Linked DNA regions of Schizosaccharomyces pombe. The protein of the gene in region 3 binds, or shares a complex with, the protein of the main gene of each other region. Each region holds a gene or a part of one and is shown on either strand. Other genes may lie near its edges. A codon is read from its position in the direction of its gene.

The links.
Region 1: the proteins of hht1 (region 3) and chp1 are in contact, whole or in part, in a crystal structure (PDB 3G7L), measured with the Schizosaccharomyces pombe proteins. Residues at the interface, in NP_594683.1 of Schizosaccharomyces pombe: Lys5 (codon at 1,666), Gln6 (codon at 1,669), Thr7 (codon at 1,672), Ala8 (codon at 1,675), Arg9 (codon at 1,678), Lys10 (codon at 1,681), Ser11 (codon at 1,684); in NP_593666.1 of Schizosaccharomyces pombe: Asp20 (codon at 3,511), Val21 (codon at 3,508), Tyr22 (codon at 3,505), Glu23 (codon at 3,502), Val24 (codon at 3,499), Trp44 (codon at 3,439), Tyr47 (codon at 3,430), Asp51 (codon at 3,418), Thr53 (codon at 3,412), Glu55 (codon at 3,406), Asn59 (codon at 3,394), Leu60 (codon at 3,391), Phe61 (codon at 3,388), Gly62 (codon at 3,385), Ala63 (codon at 3,382), Glu64 (codon at 3,379), Lys65 (codon at 3,376), Val66 (codon at 3,373).
Region 2: the proteins of hht1 (region 3) and asf1 are in contact, whole or in part, in a crystal structure (PDB 2DZE), measured with the Schizosaccharomyces pombe proteins. Residues at the interface, in NP_594683.1 of Schizosaccharomyces pombe: Leu127 (codon at 2,032), Ala128 (codon at 2,035), Arg129 (codon at 2,038), Arg130 (codon at 2,041), Leu131 (codon at 2,044); in NP_588267.1 of Schizosaccharomyces pombe: Asp37 (codon at 2,169), Asp58 (codon at 2,232), Thr59 (codon at 2,235), Leu60 (codon at 2,238), Leu61 (codon at 2,241), Val62 (codon at 2,244), Gly63 (codon at 2,247), Glu75 (codon at 2,283), Ala76 (codon at 2,286), Asp77 (codon at 2,289).
Region 4: the proteins of hht1 (region 3) and clr4 are in contact, whole or in part, in a crystal structure (PDB 9IT4), measured with the Schizosaccharomyces pombe proteins. Residues at the interface, in NP_594683.1 of Schizosaccharomyces pombe: Thr7 (codon at 1,672), Ala8 (codon at 1,675), Arg9 (codon at 1,678), Ser11 (codon at 1,684), Thr12 (codon at 1,687), Gly13 (codon at 1,690), Gly14 (codon at 1,693), Lys19 (codon at 1,708), Gln20 (codon at 1,711); in NP_595186.1 of Schizosaccharomyces pombe: Ala298 (codon at 3,690), Asp299 (codon at 3,687), Thr300 (codon at 3,684), Gly301 (codon at 3,681), Ala302 (codon at 3,678), Val303 (codon at 3,675), Tyr357 (codon at 3,513), Ala367 (codon at 3,483), Ala368 (codon at 3,480), Asp371 (codon at 3,471), Thr380 (codon at 3,444), Tyr381 (codon at 3,441), Leu382 (codon at 3,438), Phe383 (codon at 3,435), Asp384 (codon at 3,432), Asp386 (codon at 3,426), Met387 (codon at 3,423), Thr395 (codon at 3,399), Ala417 (codon at 3,333), Ile418 (codon at 3,330), Tyr419 (codon at 3,327), Leu433 (codon at 3,285), Ile438 (codon at 3,270), Phe449 (codon at 3,237), Asp450 (codon at 3,234), Tyr451 (codon at 3,231), Ala452 (codon at 3,228), Gly453 (codon at 3,225), Phe489 (codon at 3,117), Gly490 (codon at 3,114).

Annotation. Positions count from the first base shown.
Region 1 is NC_003424.3:2,210,292-2,216,000, forward strand, and holds chp1 (heterochromatin (HP1) family chromodomain protein Chp1), read right to left. Parts: upstream 4,055-5,709; 5' UTR 3,569-4,054; coding exon 686-3,568; 3' UTR 519-685; downstream 1-518. Other genes in the region: aim18 (chalcone related protein), read right to left, coding at 1-384; Rab11 family GTPase Ypt3, read left to right, coding at 5,524-5,709. UniProt on the Schizosaccharomyces pombe protein: Component of the kinetochore which plays a role in stabilizing microtubules and so allowing accurate chromosome segregation. Has a role in the RNA interference (RNAi) pathway which is important for heterochromatin formation and accurate chromosome segregation.
Region 2 is NC_003421.2:1,642,386-1,646,615, reverse strand, and holds asf1 (histone H3-H4 chaperone Asf1), read left to right. Parts: upstream 1-2,031; 5' UTR 2,032-2,060; coding exon 2,061-2,849; 3' UTR 2,850-3,714; downstream 3,715-4,230. Other genes in the region: osr1 (dehydrogenase), read left to right, coding at 740-1,501; SPOM_SPCC663.18 (GTPAse-interacting protein), read left to right, coding at 3,745-3,782, 3,819-3,850, 3,899-4,026. UniProt on the Schizosaccharomyces pombe protein: Histone chaperone that facilitates histone deposition and histone exchange and removal during nucleosome assembly and disassembly.
Region 3 is NC_003424.3:4,698,176-4,701,110, forward strand, and holds hht1 (histone H3 h3.1), read left to right. Parts: upstream 1-1,556; 5' UTR 1,557-1,653; coding exon 1,654-2,064; 3' UTR 2,065-2,385; downstream 2,386-2,935. Other genes in the region: multifunctional aromatic polypeptide Aro1, read left to right, coding at 1-317; hhf1 (histone H4 h4.1), read right to left, coding at 910-1,221. UniProt on the Schizosaccharomyces pombe protein: Core component of nucleosome. Nucleosomes wrap and compact DNA into chromatin, limiting DNA accessibility to the cellular machineries which require DNA as a template.
Region 4 is NC_003423.3:453,467-460,077, forward strand, and holds clr4 (histone lysine H3-K9 methyltransferase (Suv39) Clr4), read right to left. Parts: upstream 4,945-6,611; 5' UTR 4,582-4,944; coding exon 3,109-4,581; 3' UTR 2,847-3,108; coding exon of another isoform or gene 1,536-2,846; 3' UTR 1,479-1,535; coding exon of another isoform or gene 1,202-1,478; 3' UTR 1,132-1,201; coding exon of another isoform or gene 764-1,131; 3' UTR 530-763; downstream 1-529. Other genes in the region: pleckstrin homology domain protein Meu6, read left to right, coding at 764-1,131, 1,202-1,478, 1,536-2,846. UniProt on the Schizosaccharomyces pombe protein: Histone methyltransferase which contributes to the establishment of heterochromatin by specifically methylating histone H3 to form H3K9me. Part of the Clr4 methyltransferase complex (ClrC).

The DNA.
Region 1 (5,709 bases), 2.5 Mb from region 3:
TGCCACGATCCGACTTCCAATTTCTTCGTCTTTCATACTCATTTCTAGCCCTAATTTCGGATCTACCTCCTTTTGCAATATAGTGTGAACGGTTTGAACATCTTTCTTCTGAATATACAATTCGATATCATACACATGAATACTTAGAAAAGAAACATATCGCGGTCCTGAACCTAACAAAAATAGTTCATCCTCATTATTAATTCTTTTTTGAACTAATCCTTCGTATGTTTGTTGAATTGTCTTGGTGACACTCTCACAGTATAGAGGGCGAGTTTGATACATGGCATTTATTGTTGCTACTGAGCTCCAAAAGACCAATCCTGGTCGTTTCGATAACCAATTCTTGCAAAATTGATAAGCAAAAAAACGAGTACCAAACATGTTGTTTAGTTTAAATACACACACACAGATATTAGCCGGTTGGTATTGGATCACATGTTTTTCCAAGAGATCCTAGATTTTAAGGAGGTGCGCAAAAACAACTAACAATGTTGAAACATACGGTTATTATATAGTGAAAAAATTAATTAATTAATTAATCGTCTAATTTCTAAAGAGTAGACTGTTATTTTCTAGTATAAGTCTTTGAGTTTAATTTTAAGTATTCCTATCCATTCGTAATAAGAAAAAATGTCAGTCTATATATCCCATTGTCCGCCGTATCCCAAAATAAATAAAACGACTATTTTAAACCAATAGCTCTCATAAAAGTCTCTTTGAACTCATCATAGTCAACAATGTCAAGGCCATTAACTGGCGTCAATTCATTTTTAAGCTCGTGAATCAATACGAACCTTCTATATTTATCATAATTTTTTTTCTGGTACAATTGTAGAGTGCTGGCTAAAGATACATCAGCGCTATCATCGATCACAATATCCCAATCCTGATACAAAGTCACGTTCTTCAGCGCTGGGTTGGTCAGGTAGCGCTGGAGTGTATTCAATAAGTTTTGAATTTCCAAGAGACTTTTGTCTGGATTGTTTGTTACAAAATAGCTCTTGACCATATCCACAATTGATGGGGGTAGAATTAAAATCCATGAATCTTTTTTAATCTCAAGAAATGGACTAATGAGTTCCAAAAGCCGTGGTGTTTTTATAAGTGCTGAGAGTGTAACAGATACCACCCCACCCTTAGGAAACATCGGTCTTAAGTACTGTGAATATGTCAACTTATCAAGGGGTTCATTGTTTTTCTTAAAGTCCGTACCCACGTGTGAATCATTAGGACTTTTGAGAGGGAGTGACAAACCAAATAAGAAAAATTTACAACTTTTCCTTTTCGCCAGTGTTAAAAATTGCAGTTGATCAAAATCATCCTCTAGTGAGACATTCAGGAAAACAAAAACATTCTGTGATAAAAACAAAGATTCCGGAATCTCGAGTCCTCGAAATGTCGGAATAGCAGCTTCTCTAAAAGTATCCTCCAATTCTTCTGCCTCCGGAGAAGGCTGTTTAGAGACAATTAAAATTTGTGTAGCTTGAAAAGCGCCTATTTTATGTAAATCGATGTGGCCTAATTGTAGTAAATAAGACAAGTAAGATTGGGATTTATGATATGGCTTTTTAGGCCTTAGATTTTTTGCCGACCATTCGACTAGGATTGATTCTAAAGGTTCAAAAATCACCATCCAAAAAGGGCTATTGCTTTGGCCTTGACAATCGTATAAATTCATTAAAGCATTATTATCCTCTGTAAATAATAATAATGTATAGTTACTACCCAGAACGATGCCAGCACCGTTGCCGCGGTTTAGTATATTTTTAAAGTGAGTCATATCAACATCGCTTCGAATACAAAGACTTCCGGAAAGAACTTTAGTCAAGCAAGTACCAAATACCTCGAGATATTGTGAAGTAACAAAACGTAAAACATCTACTTGCTTGCAACTGACTAAACTTCGTAACAACTGTTGATGTTCAGTTTCCGCCTTAAGCTTGGATATATCAAATGACAATTCTCCAGCATAGTAGAGAGATTTTCCGACTCGCAAAACGAATCTAAAATAATCAGACAATGTGCTTGCTGAAGAAAGATCTTCGGATTCGCTTATCGAATGGTGAAGAGAGTTATCCGAATTTAAAGTAATATTACCAGCCGGAACTACTTTGCTAGCTCCATCATTTTCAAAAGTTTGATCGCTTTTAGAAACACTGTTCCAGTCGTTATTAACAGTAGTCCAACTACTTCCGATAACACTTTTCTTAAGCTGCTTAGCATCTTCATTCGTCACGTTTACGTTGAAATCGAAATTTTCGTCCAGATCGACATTGCTAGCAAATTTTTCCGACTCAGAAAGGGTATCTGTTGTTGTTTGTGTAAAAGAAACGGACCTTGCATTTGCTTTCTTTGAAGGGGTTGTTTTTAAAATAGACTTTGAGACTTTACATTCTTCCATATCAGTTGATATCTTCCCTTTTACTAAAGTTACATGCCAACTTGGATGCCCTTTATCATACGCAAGTTTGGCTTGTTCGATAGAATCGAATTGAATGTAGGCCATATTACAAACTTTGTCTTTCTTTGGTGATTTGAGAAAAAAGACCTCAATATTTCCTTTGATAAAAGCAAAGTACGATAAAATATCTTGCTTCGTTAAAGAACCAGAATTATCACTAACTAATATCGTATGCGTTTCTAATTTCGGTGCTTCCTTTTTTATCTTCAAAGAGGAAGGAAGAGGAGTCGAATTGCTAAAAAATAATGAATTGGCAACATCATTATCGGAAGTTATTACTGGCGACAGACTTAAAGGGCTTGAATGCCTAAAGGTTGACAAGGGGGTGTTAGATTGTGGTGAATTCGCATTTTCAACAAAAGCGCCAGTATTTTCAAGATTGTTCGAATTTTGAATTCCGGGAACTGAGTTGTCAGAGTCACTGGGCATCAACATTGTGCTTTTAATTTCGCCATTTTTCAAAGGTATTGCATCGCTGGAGAGGCTTTTGGACAATAAAATACTGTCGGTAACTGTAGGCCACTCTGATAAGTAGAAAGGATTAACATCAGGGCTAGTTTCACCAAACGATGTGGATAGCGTGCTAGTTTTATCGGTCAAATTCCTCTCCTTCAATTCCCCTTGCATACTTTTTCTCTCAAACGCATCCTCATCCATTGTCTGATCGTCCTCTTCCTCTTCATCATTTGCGATGGTTACAATCCTTCGGGCAGGCTTCTTACGCATCTTTTTGAATTTTTCTTTGACTTTTTGAGATAATTGGGTAAGCTCGGATTTGCGCTTTTGTCTTTGTTGCCTCAATATCTCCTTTTCTCTCTTCATTTTCTTTGCCTCATTATCTTCCGCATCGAAAGGTTCAAGCAAGCCTTTAGCAATTAACTTTTTCCGTTTTTTCCATTTTTTAAGCACTTTTTCCGCACCGAATAAATTTTGTTCAGGTTCCCAAGTATTATCATACCAATCATAGCCAGCCCATTTTATATAATATTCGTTTATGCCATTTTTATTTACGCGGTCAGCAAGGATATCTTCCACCTCATAAACATCCGCGTCTGTCTCACCTTCATTCGAGTCAATATCAGGAAGTGGTTTAACAGATACCATTTCAAGGTAGCGGGTTTTTTGCTCACCTACGTGTCGCTAAGAGAGATTGAAGTATTACAACAAAAAAATATATAAAAGGATAAAGATATGAATTTAAAAAAAAAACGGAATTAAGCAAGATTGAATAGATTCCTTGACAAAACTATTAGCCAAAGTTCTTCCCTTTCAACTACTTTTATAGTTGCATGAAGGGCAGAGTATAACCTCTAAAATGGCTCAAATATTTCCCTTTTGCTTGTGATTTTTTTACCAATGGAACACAAGAATAACAACAGATAATTCCAGTAATGAAGCTTTTAGATGTTAGAATTTCGAAGTCTCGCTGCAATAAGCAAGATGGCTTATGCACTCGAATTTTGGAATCAAACAAAATCCGCGTGATTTTACCGTCGTGTCACCAACGCAAACCGTTAAATATACAAAAAAATAAGTTTTCGATTGGGTTTGGAGTTTTATTGCATTAATCAAGTGTGTGAGGTTGAGGTTGCAGATTTGAAGACACCTATGGAGACATATGTACTTTGAGAAAATACTCACTAACCACTAGTGTTACTAGTTGCATACATGAGGTACTAGTAGTCAAAAAACTTTGTTGGTAAATTGATAAATGTTTAAAATTTTCTCATTCCTCCTGAACTTCTAATTTTATTTTCTGGGTGGTTGTGTAAGTTAGAAAAACTTTAAACAAATAATGAATTTTGTTTTCAAAAAGCTACAATGAGTAGATTTTGAGCGCTGCAATTTATTAAACGATGCGTTTATACATAATACCTCTAAATGTGTTAACTCTATATAAACGAATTCAACACAACATATCATTCCAAAACTGGTAGTACAATAAGAAAAGTAAATAATTACTACGATAGAAAAAAATGATCGTGCCAAGACTCGAACTTGGGACCGTCTGCGAACTAGCATGTTAAGCAGAAATTATAACCATCTAAACCACACGACCTCTTTTGATAATTGCTTGCATTAATTTTATATAGAGGTTAACCAAGGGATCCATTTACTTATATTATTACGGAACTATGTTATTCGTTTTCCATGAAATGAACTTAATAAGAAAAACTGTTTATGTGCAGGATTTTTTTGTTTCTTGTTAACCCAAGATTTGCCAACGATAATTATTCGATGGATTACTCAAGTAACTTTCTGCATGAAGGATGCCTGCATGCCATGAGCAGCATCCAACATTGTATAACTTTTGCATAAAGAAAAAGATTTCAATTGAGCCGCCAATTTTATTCTTTCAAATTTTTAATTTCGATCATTGTGACCATTATAAAAGTGAGAAAAAGCTGCTGAAAAAACCGGAACTTAAAATATTCTTTCTTTGGCTAGATAACTTTGTAACTTGGAAATCAAAACATTGCTTTCAAAGAATTTCTACATCATTGTTTGATGCAGGACTAAAATGGGTATAGTACTGACTAATCGCACTGTAAAAACCCATACCAACCCGTCCATATCCAGTTTTGCGATTGGGTTCAATCGGTCATTCATATAATTGATAGTACTTGCATTCAATTGAGTACTTGCGCTTCTTTATATCAAAGGCATTTTAAAATGTTTACAAAATAGCGCTTTATAGTGAACAACAGCATAATGATTTTGATGATAGCAATCACTAAACGACACCAGCCTTCTCATGATTACGACATTCTTTGTAACGCAGTATAATTATTTAATGAATCATTGGAATGCGTTATATGCATTTTAACGGCCAGTGGCACTAGTGGACTTTTTTTTGTTACCATGATAAAGGATTATTACTTCCTTAGGTTTTCTGATATCCCTCTGCAACTTACCTACAACAAACTACGACTAAGTAAATTCTTCGACTATCGAAAGCAGGGTTCATTGTAATTTACAGGTATATACCTTGATATTATTTGACCTTAAATATTTGTTAACAAAAATTGTTCGTAGATTTACCGATAGAGAACTTAGCCATGTGTCAAGAGGACGAATACGATTATTTGTTCAAGACTGTGCTGATTGGGGATAGTGGTGTTGGAAAGTCAAACCTACTTATGCGTTTCACTAGGAATGAATTTAATATCGAAAGCAAGAGTACTATTGGTGTTGAATTTGCTACTAGAAATATTGTTCTTGACAACAAAAAAATTAAAGCACAG
Region 2 (4,230 bases), on a different chromosome or scaffold from region 3:
TGATTTGTTCAAACAATTGTTTTTTGTTAATTTCATATGTTCTTACAAATGTTTACGAGCATAAAAAGTTTGAGCGAGTCCAAGGTGCCACTTGGATTGTTCAGCAGTTTTAGATCTTGATACGTTTTATTCAACCTTTGGATATATAAAGAAGGGCGTCGCATATAAAAAATTCAAGTGTTCATACAGCAATGCTTAAATCGGTTGCAAACTTATATTTTATCTTAAAATTATTCTATTTCTATGTTTTTTTTGTTTAATAATTTTTATTGTGAAAGGACTTCAAGGTTTAAAAGAGTTGTTTTTTTGTATCCTGATTCAACGCTTTTCTCCTATGGCCAATGTCTCAGCATTATCAATTAAACAATTTTCAAATAAATTCTCCCTTTATGATACTTTATCAAGGAAATTAAAAGAAAGGTGCATTTAAAGGAATACTATTCAGTATGCAAGCAGTATCAAGGAAGCAGCTGACAAACCAATGGAACGGGTTATAAAGATTAGTTGCAATATCCATATTATATGGCAAAATATCACCTAACGCTCTACGTGAACTACTATGAACCTGCTGATTTTGGAAGTATATTCAATTATGTAAGCATCAAAATTCACGGTTCAAATCACGTAAGCATAATGATTTGAAGAATTGGTATATAAGCACGAAGTTAATGATAAATTGCCGACACCAAATTACACTTTTCAAACGGATTCAAGGATCATTCAAATATTGTGTTAGAATATGTCTACTACCAACAAAATTTACTTTATTGCAGGAGGAAATCGAGGCATTGGACTCTCTCTTGTTAAGGAATTGAGCAACAGAGAAGGAACAGTTGTATTTGCAAGTGCCCGCAAGCCTGAAGCTGCTACTGAATTACAAGAATGGAGCAAGTCTCATTCCAATGTGCATATTATTAAGTTAGATATCTCCTCTCTAGAGAGTGCTAATGAAGCCGCTCAAGAAGTTGCAAAAGCTGTAGGTAAAGTAGATGTTCTTTGGGTAAATTCGGGCATTTTTCATTCTTTCAACACTGTTCTGAATACTCCTGATGATGTCTGGAACTCTCACTATAAAACCAATGTTTTAGGACCAATTCATGTCTACCAAGCCTTTTATCCTCTTGTGAAGAAAGGAGAATCTAAAATCATTGTTTTTACTTCATCATTAGTTGGATCCATGGGTGCTTTCTTCCCATTTAACCAATCTGGTTATGGCCAATCCAAGGCTGCTTTAAATTTTACAATGAAGGAAATTAGTTTTGAGCTACAAGATGAAGGATTCATAGTGATTTCAATTCATCCCGGAATGGTTCGAACCGATTCAGCTCAGGAAGCTGTAAATCAGCATGCTGAAGCGAAACCGGAAATTTTAGATATCTTTGCGAAACAGGCCTTGGCACCAGACCAAAGCGCTTCAGATATGTTGAAAGTTGTAGACAATTTGAAGCCCGAAAATAATGGATTTTTTTTCAACTATGATGGTACTACAATTCCATACTGATGGAAATTCACATCATTAACAAGTCATTCGGATTTGCTGTTAAGCTGCATCAATATTATATAACCGAATGATCGAAGGAACTTACAATAACCCTAAATATATGTTTTAATCCGCTTGTATATCTTTTTTAATAATTAGAGATGAAGGAGGTTATGTCTATTTTTTATGTTTCACATACGAGTTGTTTTTGCACAATGAAATTTGATGATCATATTAATTGTACATTGCATGCATTATTAATGAAATAGAAATTTTTATTAAACAACGGTTATGTTTAACTAAACTGCTCTGTAAGTTCTTCGTACTTTCGCATAAAATACTTAACAATGGTTATGTTTTCTATTGTTTACCGAATAGTGAGGCATTGTTTAGATGTGCCTTCAGTATTTATATTTACTGCATTTTAATCCTTATATGTTTGAATCAAATAGGTGTTATTACCTTAGAGCACGAAAAGCGATATAAAATAGTCAAGCGTATCCTTAATTATCCGAACTCTACGAAACCTTTCTTCACCTACGCTGTTCTTGGCAATCGCTTAGACGCGTTTCACTTCGAAATGTCAATCGTGAATATCCTTAGTGTTAATGTGCTAAATAATCCGGCAAAGTTCTCTGATCCATATAAATTCGAAATTACCTTTGAATGTCTGGAGCCGTTAAAAAGCGACCTGGAATGGAAGTTGACATATGTAGGTAGTGCGACGTCTCAAAGTTACGACCAAATTTTGGACACGCTACTAGTGGGACCTATACCAATCGGGATTAATAAATTCGTTTTTGAAGCTGATCCTCCTAATATCGATCTTTTACCTCAACTCAGCGATGTTTTGGGTGTCACAGTTATTTTACTCTCTTGTGCATATGAGGATAATGAGTTTGTTCGAGTAGGTTATTATGTCAACAATGAGATGGAGGGCCTGAACCTTCAGGAAATGGACGATGCAGAAATTAAAAAGGTCAAGGTTGACATTTCTAAAGTCTGGCGCAGTATTTTAGCAGAAAAGCCAAGGGTGACTCGATTCAACATTCAGTGGGATAATCCCGACTTTGACGATGCTCCACCAGTTCAGCCTGACGCGGACGAAGAGGAAGAAGAGGAGGAAGCTGATGAAATGGAGGAAGAATTCGATGAAGAGGGAGAAGGCGATGAGGAGGAGGAGGAGGAAGACGATGGAGACGGTGATGGAGAAGGTGATGGTGATGGAGAAGGAGAAAATGATGGGAAAGGATCGGAAGAAGAAGAAGAAGAAGAAATTGATATAGAGGAAGAAGAAGAAGAGTCGGCTCTTGCAAATGCTTCAGCTGCGGAAGAGAAACCTGAGGAGAAACCAGAGACGTCTCAGTAAAATGATAATCGGACTATTTTTTGAATGCTAATACTAATATTGACAAGAACTAATCCGATAAAGAACATGATTACTTTTTTGTATACTCTCTTTTAGTTTGCGCATATATATCGCTCTACCCGTTATTTTTTCGATGTAAAATATTCATGACTGGTGATAGTGTGAGAATAAAAACTATGGAATGGGAAAAGAGGAATAGCATTTTTTTTCCTGTTACCATAAAGCATTTTTCATAACACATCTTTTATTTAAATTCATTTTTGAACCGTCGACCTTTCCGTTGCATAATGGAGGGAAGAAGCATCTATTGTATGCCTCTTCCAATCGCCCTAAACGCATCATTTGTACCAACGTTCCATATTTTGGAACGGAGTTCTATTAGATTATTATTTTCTTTTTTTCCCATGTAAATTGTTGAAAGACTTTCGCATCCTGGTGTATGAAGTGTGCATTTCATGTTTTTCAAAACATAATTAGGGCACAGACGCAAGCTTTCTCTCCTCGATTTATCCTTACGGGACGGGATCTTTTTCCAGTTTATTAATGTGTGGATCCATTATTAGTATGTTCCATATTTAACTTATTCATCCAAAAGACAGCAGCACTCATTCTAGTTTTCGCCCTATGTATATTTGTTTATTGCAAGACCCATCAGTTGCGTACTCCAATGTAATCCGTTCGCTAATAAAACGTATTATGACATAAAACGCTATTTAAATATTGCGTATAGCAATACTCAACTCAATTAAGGATAATGTCTCTTGCAGTGGCCTCTTTAAATTGAGTGACACCCCTAAGTCACAGCAATGGGAAATGACATGTATTGACGCTACGCTGGTAAGACACTTCCCAACCTCCCATTTTCCGCAAAAAAACAAAAAAAGCGCATTACTCAATGAGTACAGATTCCTTGCCAAGAAGTTTGATGGAGCAGTAAGTGGTTTTGCTAGTTCTTTGCTAAATTGATAGGAAAGCGATGGAATTGCAACAGCAATTGCAAGGTACGATGGCGGTGCGTTTTGGAGAAAGAAAAGACTAACAATTGATAGCTTTGTTGGATGAGATCGATCAAAACAAACAGGAATCTGAAAACATTAGTCGAGAAAGCGAGTATCTGTGCCAATACATCGGCAGCATGATGGCCTTTCAGAATCGTCAGACTGTTCCCAAGAAGTAAAGTCGTTTAACCCTCTTTATGAAGCAACACTTGTACAGAAAGAGTTGTTGATGCACCATTGAATTGATTAATCGCTTTTTTTGATGTTTTTTGTATGATTCGTTCGATGAAGAAGAAAAAAAAATAAGGTTCGTTTGGATAGATGCGTAAGAACGCTGTTAAAACTGCGAATTCTCAGAAAAGTTTTTGGACGAATGACTGGAT
Region 3 (2,935 bases):
CTGACAATATTCCTTCTGAAGAATTATCTAGTGTTACCCTTTCCGCGGTCGTCTCGACAATTCCTGCAGATATTGAGCTTCCTGAAAAAGTTGCATCTGTTATTAAAGCTTTGCTTGCTAACAAAGCCGATGGTGGAGTATTCCTTGACATGGCTTACAAGCCCTTGCATACACCTCTAATGGCTGTTGCATCTGACTTGGAATGGAAATGTTGCAACGGATTGGAAGCTTTAGTTCGTCAAGGTCTTGCGTCTTTTCATTTGTGGACTGGAATGACAGCACCATTTGATGCTGTTTATCAAAAGGTTATTGAGTAAGTCAACAATTCAAATTTTCGATTTAGTTAGGTATTTTGAAATCTATTTTGATACAAATGTAGAATAAAAATACAGGAAGTAATTTTTTTTAGCACTTCAGCTAGTAGAATCAGGAAGCCAATTGACGCTTGGTATGTCAATGATCAGTAAGCAGTCGCAAAATGTATGAACGCTGTAAATTTACAACAACAAAAATAATCTTGTAGAAGTGGAAACATTACTGTACCATTTTGCATACCAACTTGTATCTACTTTCGACTACAAAATGAAGTATTTTGCGAAACGTGATAATTAAGTTTATTAAAGTGTGACATTCAAAGACATTGTTTGCAAAAAATAATATCACCTACAAAAGAAACTAGTCATAAAAACATATGCAGAACAAATCCAATTAAAAACAGAACTTATAAGACTGCTGAAAAAGGGAAAGTCGCAGAAAGAGGTAATAATCCACAAAAATTATATTGATAGATAATTCAAATTTCACGAACAATTGCACAACATTTATAGCAGACAGGGGTAAAAAAGGAATTAAGTGGTAAATAATAAAGTGATATACAAACAAGGAGAAAAAAATCAATGTAATAGGAGTTTAACCACCGAAACCATAAATGGTACGGCCTTGACGCTTCAAAGAATAGACAACGTCCAAAGAAGTGACAGTCTTACGCTTGGCATGCTCAGTATAGGTGACGGCATCGCGAATAACATTTTCTAAGAAGAGCTTGAGAACAGCACGAGTCTCTTCATAAACCAAAGCGGAAATACGCTTCACACCACCACGACGAGCAAGACGACGGATAGCAGGCTTAGTAATACCTTGAATGTTGTCACGAAGAATTTTACGGTGACGCTTAGCACCACCTTTTCCCAAACCTTTACCACCTTTACCACGACCAGACATGTTAAGAAGTAGAAAAAATTAAAATCTACGCAAAAAAACGCGTAATTCTTTAAGTATAATAAAGATAAAGGGGTTTTCCGTTGACTAACAAAGGAACAATGAATTTATAGATGTCAACAGATGTTAACGGTAGGATAAAAGTCAATGCAAATTGACAAAGGATTTTATCCGTATTCAAAAACAATTAAAAGAAATGATTGTCTGAAGAGAGGGAAGTTGGGGCGACGCTGTCTATTTGTTTTGAATCTGCATCAAAACCCTAACCCTGCTTTTGATGAGATCGGGTGGATTCAAAACATATATATAGCAAATATCTGCAGTACGCTTGCGTTTCCATTAATTCTAAAGATCAACAATTGGCAAAAGTAGCACAACAGCTATTTTTTTCTCGATTGTCTTTTTATTTGATATTCATTCTACTAGCTTGATATAATGGCTCGTACTAAACAAACAGCTCGTAAGTCTACCGGTGGTAAGGCACCCCGTAAGCAATTGGCCTCTAAGGCCGCTCGTAAGGCCGCTCCCGCTACCGGAGGTGTTAAGAAGCCTCATCGTTATCGTCCTGGTACTGTCGCTCTTCGTGAGATTCGTCGTTATCAAAAGTCTACTGAACTTTTAATTCGTAAGCTACCTTTCCAACGTTTGGTCCGTGAAATCGCCCAAGATTTCAAGACTGACTTGCGTTTCCAATCTTCTGCCATTGGTGCTCTCCAAGAAGCTGTTGAGGCCTACCTTGTCTCTCTATTTGAGGACACTAACTTGTGTGCTATTCACGGAAAACGTGTTACGATTCAACCCAAGGATATGCAGTTGGCTCGTCGTCTCCGTGGCGAACGCTCATAATTTTCTCCAGGACTTTTGGCAATTGTAATTGAGACTAAATTAATTTTGATTGACTGCTTGCCTGTATTATACTGTCACCCTTTGATATGTTGCTACCAATAAGTGAAAAGCAGGCTTCGTGAATAATTGTTGTTTTTGTTCTACATTACCAAGAGCTAGATGAACGTTCACTTTGATGGGAACGGATATGTGTTAATTTGGTTGTTTGAATTTATCTTCAATTATAGAAACTTGTCGTTAATTCATGCGAATGAATTCAGCCTTGAGAGTGACAAGTTTAGATAACACATTATGTACATTAATGAAAACTAATGACAACAAGTACCTTTATTTGAAACATGATTTCTTTTATTTCAAGTATCTGTTAAATTTATGTCTTTTGTTTTATAAAAGAATACAGAACTACGAAGACAATGCTTTTTTTAAAAATCTTTACACTTTTGGTATTGAGATTTGGTTGTTATCGCAGCATTCTTTATCGTTTAATGGCGGTTCGCATAAAGAATTGCACATATTTATATGAACAAACTGTTTTCAGGTATTTACGAACTGTTTAATAGCTTAATAGCTTTGATATATCGCGGAAAGATATTTTGCAAAGACAAATCGAGCATGTAATGAACTTATCGGCCGAAAAAAAATAGACAATTCGTGAAAAATAATCAGTCATTCTTTCCTGCTTGTTATGTAACCTCTCTTTAGAACCTGGAATTGCATTTATAAGAGAATTAACGGTCGTTTTAATTCTTATTTTTAAAAATTTAGAGCTTTCTTAAGCATAGTTGAACGAGTAAAAGTAGTCCTTTGTTAGCGACTTCATAATTAAGCCTTGAAATTTATTCGGATGATTATTCTTAACATAAAAAGGAAG
Region 4 (6,611 bases), on a different chromosome or scaffold from region 3:
TGGAAGAAGTGTAAATATTAAAAGGAAATTTCCAATTCAAAGATGTGGAAAGCATTAAAAAACATCCTTCCATTCTATTGAAAATTTTAAACAATTTGAAAATACCTCGAGTTTGGATTTGCTTTTTTGAAACTAGCGTTCGTCAAAAATAATAAGTAAATAAATAAAAATTTAAAATCTCGTAAAATTCTTACCAATTAAAACCTACTTAGTTTTTAAGCAAAACAAATGAGCAGAATAGTTAAACAACATTTAATTTTTATAAAAAAAGGAACTAATGGTGACAATCATGTATAAAGTCAATGAAAAATATGGCTCATCTGTTGTTGTTAAACAGATTTCAACTCAAATGAAAATTTTAGGATGGTAGTCGCAATTAGAAATTAAAGACAAACACTTAATTGTAAAATCTCTCAATACTATATAGTTCATTCAATCGCAGACAGCTCGATTCCAGAAGAATGTATATGTTTTGATACGAATGAGCGAATACAAGATTTAATGGCCGTTGAAGATTTTATTAATAAGAATGAATTAGTAGAAATTTTTTAACATTTAAAAAGTAAATTCTATGTATTTTCCCTTTTCTATTGATGTCCATCGTTTGTTTGTATATTAGGTAGTCGATTTGTTTGTTTACATTCTCGCCAACAATTGGTATTCAAATAACCAGCTTGGCGCAGACTTTTCCTCTACCACAAATATTTACAGCATAAAAAAAATCCAAAATTGAGAGCCTAACTGTTGTTTTCGACTTCTTATCATGTCTTATGAGGGCCGTGAAGAACGACCTGAGCAGATTGCTGAACCTACTTTCGAAAATGTGTCGGAACACAATGAACATGATTCGGGATCTGCTGAGGCCCAGGTGGAGACACTGGAGGTGCCATTGAGCAACGAAACCGACAATGATGATGCCACTGAAAACGCTGTTCCTGCAGAAGTACAAGCACCTGAGGAACCCAAGGAGCCTGAAACAGTCGACAATATCGATCCTGCAGATGATGATCCAAACAGCGTGGCAGCTCCCAAGGTTGAAGAAAAAAAATCCAAGAAGAAAGCCAAGGATGAAAAACCATTGACCTACACCACTGGTGGGTATTTATACTGTCGATCCAACGGACTTATTCCGTAAGTCAAAACAGCATCCATTTATTAAAAATCAAACAATCGATTGAGTAATCTTACTAACCACATGTAGTCATGTCATGAAAAGGTATTTTTATATGCTAGAAGGCCCTATGTCTATGGATTTATTAGACCATTATTATAAAAAACACTTCCATGGTACTTTGCAAGGTAACCCAACGGAACCTTCCTTAGCTTCTGAGCAAATGCACGACTCTGATGCTGATTCCCTCTTCCAGTCTGCTAATGATCACCTTAACCGTATCGCTAAAGCTACTCAAGACTGCCGTGGTTTACTCTTTTACTCCAAATCTCAATCAACTAGTGTCCCAAGCGGAATCATTAATTTGGTAAGAATTCCTAATTCCCCTGATTTTTAGTTTTAACCGTGCTAACTGTATTTTCAGACTGATGCAGTATCCATAGAACCCGGTACTGGAAACAAATTCACCATCAATTTTAACAATGGTAAATCAGAAACACTTGAAGCCCTAGACCCAGAAAGTAAAAATACATGGATTACTGATCTCAAAAATGCCATTGCTAAGAAAAAGGAAACCAAAGATAAAATTAAAGAGCTTCGTGCTTACAATGACACGCTTAAAAGACTCGGCAAGTTAGCAGCTCGTTCAGGTCCTTCAGCAAGTGAAACATTTCGTTATTTCCTTCCAATGCTTTCTAACGGACGGGACGCGAAAAAGTCATCTAGTAAATCTCATGGCGGAAAACAAAACAATTCTGTTGCCAAAGACGGTCTTTTTGACTTTTTTCAAAACATGATTAAGGGGAAAACTCCGCAAAACGATACGGCTAGTCCCATTGATAATGAAACGTCAGCTGACCCGGTTGATACTACTGTTGAAGCACAATCAGTCGAAGTTCCTGAGAATGAAACTAACCAAATTCCCACCACTGAAGAACATTTTCCTGCTACTACGGAAGAAGTGGCTCCCGCATCAGAAGAAAAACCAGCCACAGGTCCGGCAGAAGAATCAACATCAACTCAAAATGTTGAGCAAGCTTCTACTCAAAATGATAACGGAACCCCCATCGGTCAAATAGCAGACGCCATTGAAGAAGATGTTAAAGGTACAGCCCAATCAGTTGAACAAGCTTTCATAGAAGAGACTGATATTGCACTTCCTGATATAGCACTTCCCGATGTTGCGACCCCTACTGCAGACGATCAAGACCCTTCCACTGCAGCTACTAATGAAGAGAGTGTTGTCAGCAATGAAGATAGAACGTCTAAGAAAGCCGGAAAAAAGCATCATCGGCATCATAAGAAGAAAAAAGGAGGCAACAAGAGAGTATTCGGCTTTAAGCTTCACAAGTATGCTAAACCTACCAAAAGTGTTAAAACTTTACAGGCAGATCCTTCCCTTGAATTTGCTAAGGCAGGATTTGAGATATTTCCTTCCAACCTTTCAAAGAAGCTCTCAGGTTTGGTGCAAAAAAAAGTGCATAAGAAGTTTGATAAAGACGGGAGACTAAAAGAAATTTCCCAGTTCTCAAAAACCACAATAAAACCGGAAACTCCCTTAACTCCTACAACAACTCCAACGCCTCGAACAGCTGCACAAGAAGACCCAGCTGAAGAAACAACTGATGCCCTCGCCTCAGCAGAAGGAGAAAACAATCAGATGCCCCAGGTGCTCGAAACAGAAGCAGCTCCTTCTATAGCTTCTGAAGGACGGTCCATTACCGTTAACGCTTAAACGCCCTTTTTACTTCACATGTGCGCAGCAGATGAAAAGAGTTTTTCCATTAACGCTAGGCTTTACAACAATTACTATAATGCTTTCAACAAGTGTAAAAAATATAAGCACCGATATGTTTTACCGATAATTGTTCGGCAAATCCCACAGGTCAGATAATATACATAATCTCGTTGCTTAGAAAATGAATGACCTTTTTCAGTTTAACAGTAATGGAGAAAAACAAATTGTAATTATTGGAGTCAACCAGTAATAAATTAGCTTAACCGAAAAGCCAGCCACGACAATTAGCGGAACCACATTTGCACTGCCGGCGAAGTTTTGAAATTCTATTTTGCTGAGATTTTTGAGATTGAACAGGTGAGAAATCTTTTGCACCAGCGTAATCAAATGTAAGCTCCTCTAGAGGCTGAATGTCTTTGATGGCAAAAAAAGCGAGATCATAAATGGTTCGAAATCCATGGTTCCGAACAGCAGAATAAATAGCTATATTAGGTGAACAGGAGTGGTTAAAAAAACGAGAGACATCTCCATAGTTCTGAGCATCCACTGTATACTCGCTAGCATCATCAAACATGTCTAAATCAAATAAATAGGTAATACCGTCGTCGTCATAATTTTTGTCACGCTTGGCGGCCTCTGCTGAAGTTATGACTTCTCCTAAATAGCAAGTGATAAACGTGCCAGCAGGGGCAAATCGAAGCGAACGTACACCCCATCCTTTTTCTTTTGTTTTAAATATTTCAAGCGGAAGAGTTCTACCACGTTGAACAACGCGATTAGGACACTCCATTGAACAAGAACAAAAAGAGTTGCATTCATATATAACGGCACCCGTATCTGCACGGACCCGCCCCTGTGCATCATAGGCAAAATGAGTTGGCTCATCCAAATCATCTAAACACTCACAACGAGAAGGATTGTTAAGGTCACAACCGCCAAGGGACGAGCAATTGCATCCAGATTGAAAATTTGGATCAGGCGGGATAACACCTTGTGTTAAGCGGTACTGGCTAATGAATTGAAAATCTAAAGATGGACAGGGTTCATCGTCAACTTCATTGACAAGCGTTACTTCGGGTCCTTCAATTTCCCGCAGTTTCTTACGAAATAGCTCTCTCTTTTCGTAAAAACTTAGATGGGTATAAGAGTCAAGTTTGGAAGGGTTTCGCGGTTTTGTGAGAATTGAAGATGTTTTGGGGGATGTAGCTTCTTTAATAGAATTGGAAACTAGTTCTCTTTTTTGAGATTCCTCCTTCACTTCATTTCTCGTCTTCCCCAGCTTCTTTGAATTTGTATGAAGACTATCGTCTAAAATGATACTAGTATCATTCGTCGTCAGAGCGGTGGATTGTTTTCGAGATTGTCTCTTGGTAGTTTGAGAAGAAAAAACCTTTTTATTTTCCTTTTTTACATTCAATTCCCGCGAAAATCTTTGAGAACGAGGCACTGACTTTGAAGTTTGATGTTGGTGCTTTTGTCTACTGTTTGGATGTGGATTGCTCGCATGGTGCGGTGAATCCGAGTCGGAGTTACTTCCCTTTAGTCTCCTCTTCCGCCTTTTCCATTCTGCTAAAACGGCAGAACATCCAGAAAGGTTCTCAGGGGGCTCCCAAGTATCACTTCTAGATGAATAGTTCAACCATCGAATGCGATATAGTTTGACAGCTCCATTACGATCCAATTTTTCGTCCACAATCCTTTCAACTTCATACTCCTCTTGTTTAGGCGACATTCGCAAAACTAATAACCTCTTGTTTGGTGAGATGATTTTTAGCAAACCCTCCAAATGATGCCTGAACGAATTTAAAAAATAAAATAAGGAGAGGGTTTATGTTAATATGACAATTGCTAAAGGACTAAAATAATAGACGACCGCGAACTCAGAATATAAAACTGAATGTTTTTTAGTAATGAGCAATAAATATATAAAGTCGATGTGTTCAATTTCAGAGCAAAATTGAAGCTCTGAAATTTGAAAAAGGTATCAAGTACAAAGTAATTTTAAAGTTATAATATACAAATCAACTTTCAAACAACAATCCAAACTAGCAATGCCAATTCATGTTATAACAGTTTGTATTTCGACCAGGTTGTTGAATCGCACTCCTTTACAGAAGTCAAAATTTAAAGAAACGGAGAATCGCCCCGTAAAGGAAATACGGTGTTAACAACACACTGCTCTAATGAAGAACACGTAACGTATCACTATATGTCATATGTTAGGATATTACTTTAGAGCAGTTTATTGATAAATGCGCAAAACCATTTTCATATTTACATAGACGCTGGCTAATGAAGACTAAAAAGATTATAAATTGAGCTGCAACTGAACTGAGGAATGAACTTCAGTTATAAGCTATATTAGTTATAGGTCACAATGCAATCTAGATAATTTAATACCTATACTCAATTGCTACTTGTAATACCTGTGTATTGTAATACGTTAACAAGGAAAAATTACCGCAGTTCTATGTTATCGTTAAAGCAGATACCAAACTGCGTAGCTGACTTTGTATCAGTGTGCAGCACGGAGTCTAACCCATCTGTGTCTAAATAAGAAAGTTGAGCGTTTTTAAAAAACAATAGTATGTTCAATTGCTCTATAATAATAAAAGAAATGAAACAACAGTAAGATTGTCCATAGAAAAACTTTTTACACAATTAGTCGCATCGCCATTTTTATAATGATTAAAAACTATTATATTTGACTATCGGGTTTTGATTTCGGTACAAAGAATGCCTATAAACAAGCTTCTCGCAAAATTAATAAAGTAAGGAACCAAATACCTTTGCATTCGAGCATTCATTTTTTAATAATGGTTAAACTTGAGCTCATTAGATAAACAAGGTCAATTAAAAAAGATTGAGTCTCCAGCCAACTTTCAGAACGCGATAACCCATAACCCATTCTAGAAGCACATGTTGGTATTTGGTTTTTTCGCTTGTTAATTTTGAATGACAATGGAGAAGTCATGTACTCCATTTCTGGATAAATTTTCTGCAGGCTCTAAAGGTTGATTAACAGTAGCCAATCCAAAATGTTGCTAATTTGGTTCAATTTTGAATTGCAAATCGGTGGTGCCAACATGCCTTAAAAAGTTCCATTTAAATTTAAACTTTGAAAAAATGAATAAAGAAAACAAAAAACCATACATGCTTTGACCCATATCTCTAGTGCTTCTTAATACTCTATGTGAAAGCTCCCTTGATAATTGTCGATCTCAATTAGATGGTGCGATAAATTCACCAGACTACAAACTCAAAATTTGATTGCAGAATACCTACTGTACATTAGATATATTTTTTGAACGAAGCCTTTAATCCTATCCCTTCATACCATAAACAAAAAAACAAAGCCCAATATAACATGCCAGGGATTCAATATTACCAATGATGCCTCTAGTGAATGAGAATGAAATTTCAGATCCATATACTGTGCACAAAAGATTCAACAAATACACTTTGAATGTAACTAATATTGTAGCCACCATACCGGGTTGCGAAATTTTCAATGTGGAATAGGCCATACCGAAGACAAAATCTCTGTATATATTTACGATTTTTCAATTGTATTTCTTGCTTTTAATCTTGCTTTATTATTTATTATTTGAAGTGTGAAAGGACAAGATGTAAATATATTAACAATTGCATATTCGCCTCTTATAGAATTATGACGGAAATTACCTACTTGCCGAACGAATGTGAAAATAAATAAAAGTTCTTTAGCATCTTTGGAAAAAAGAGATTAATTTCGTTTAGTTA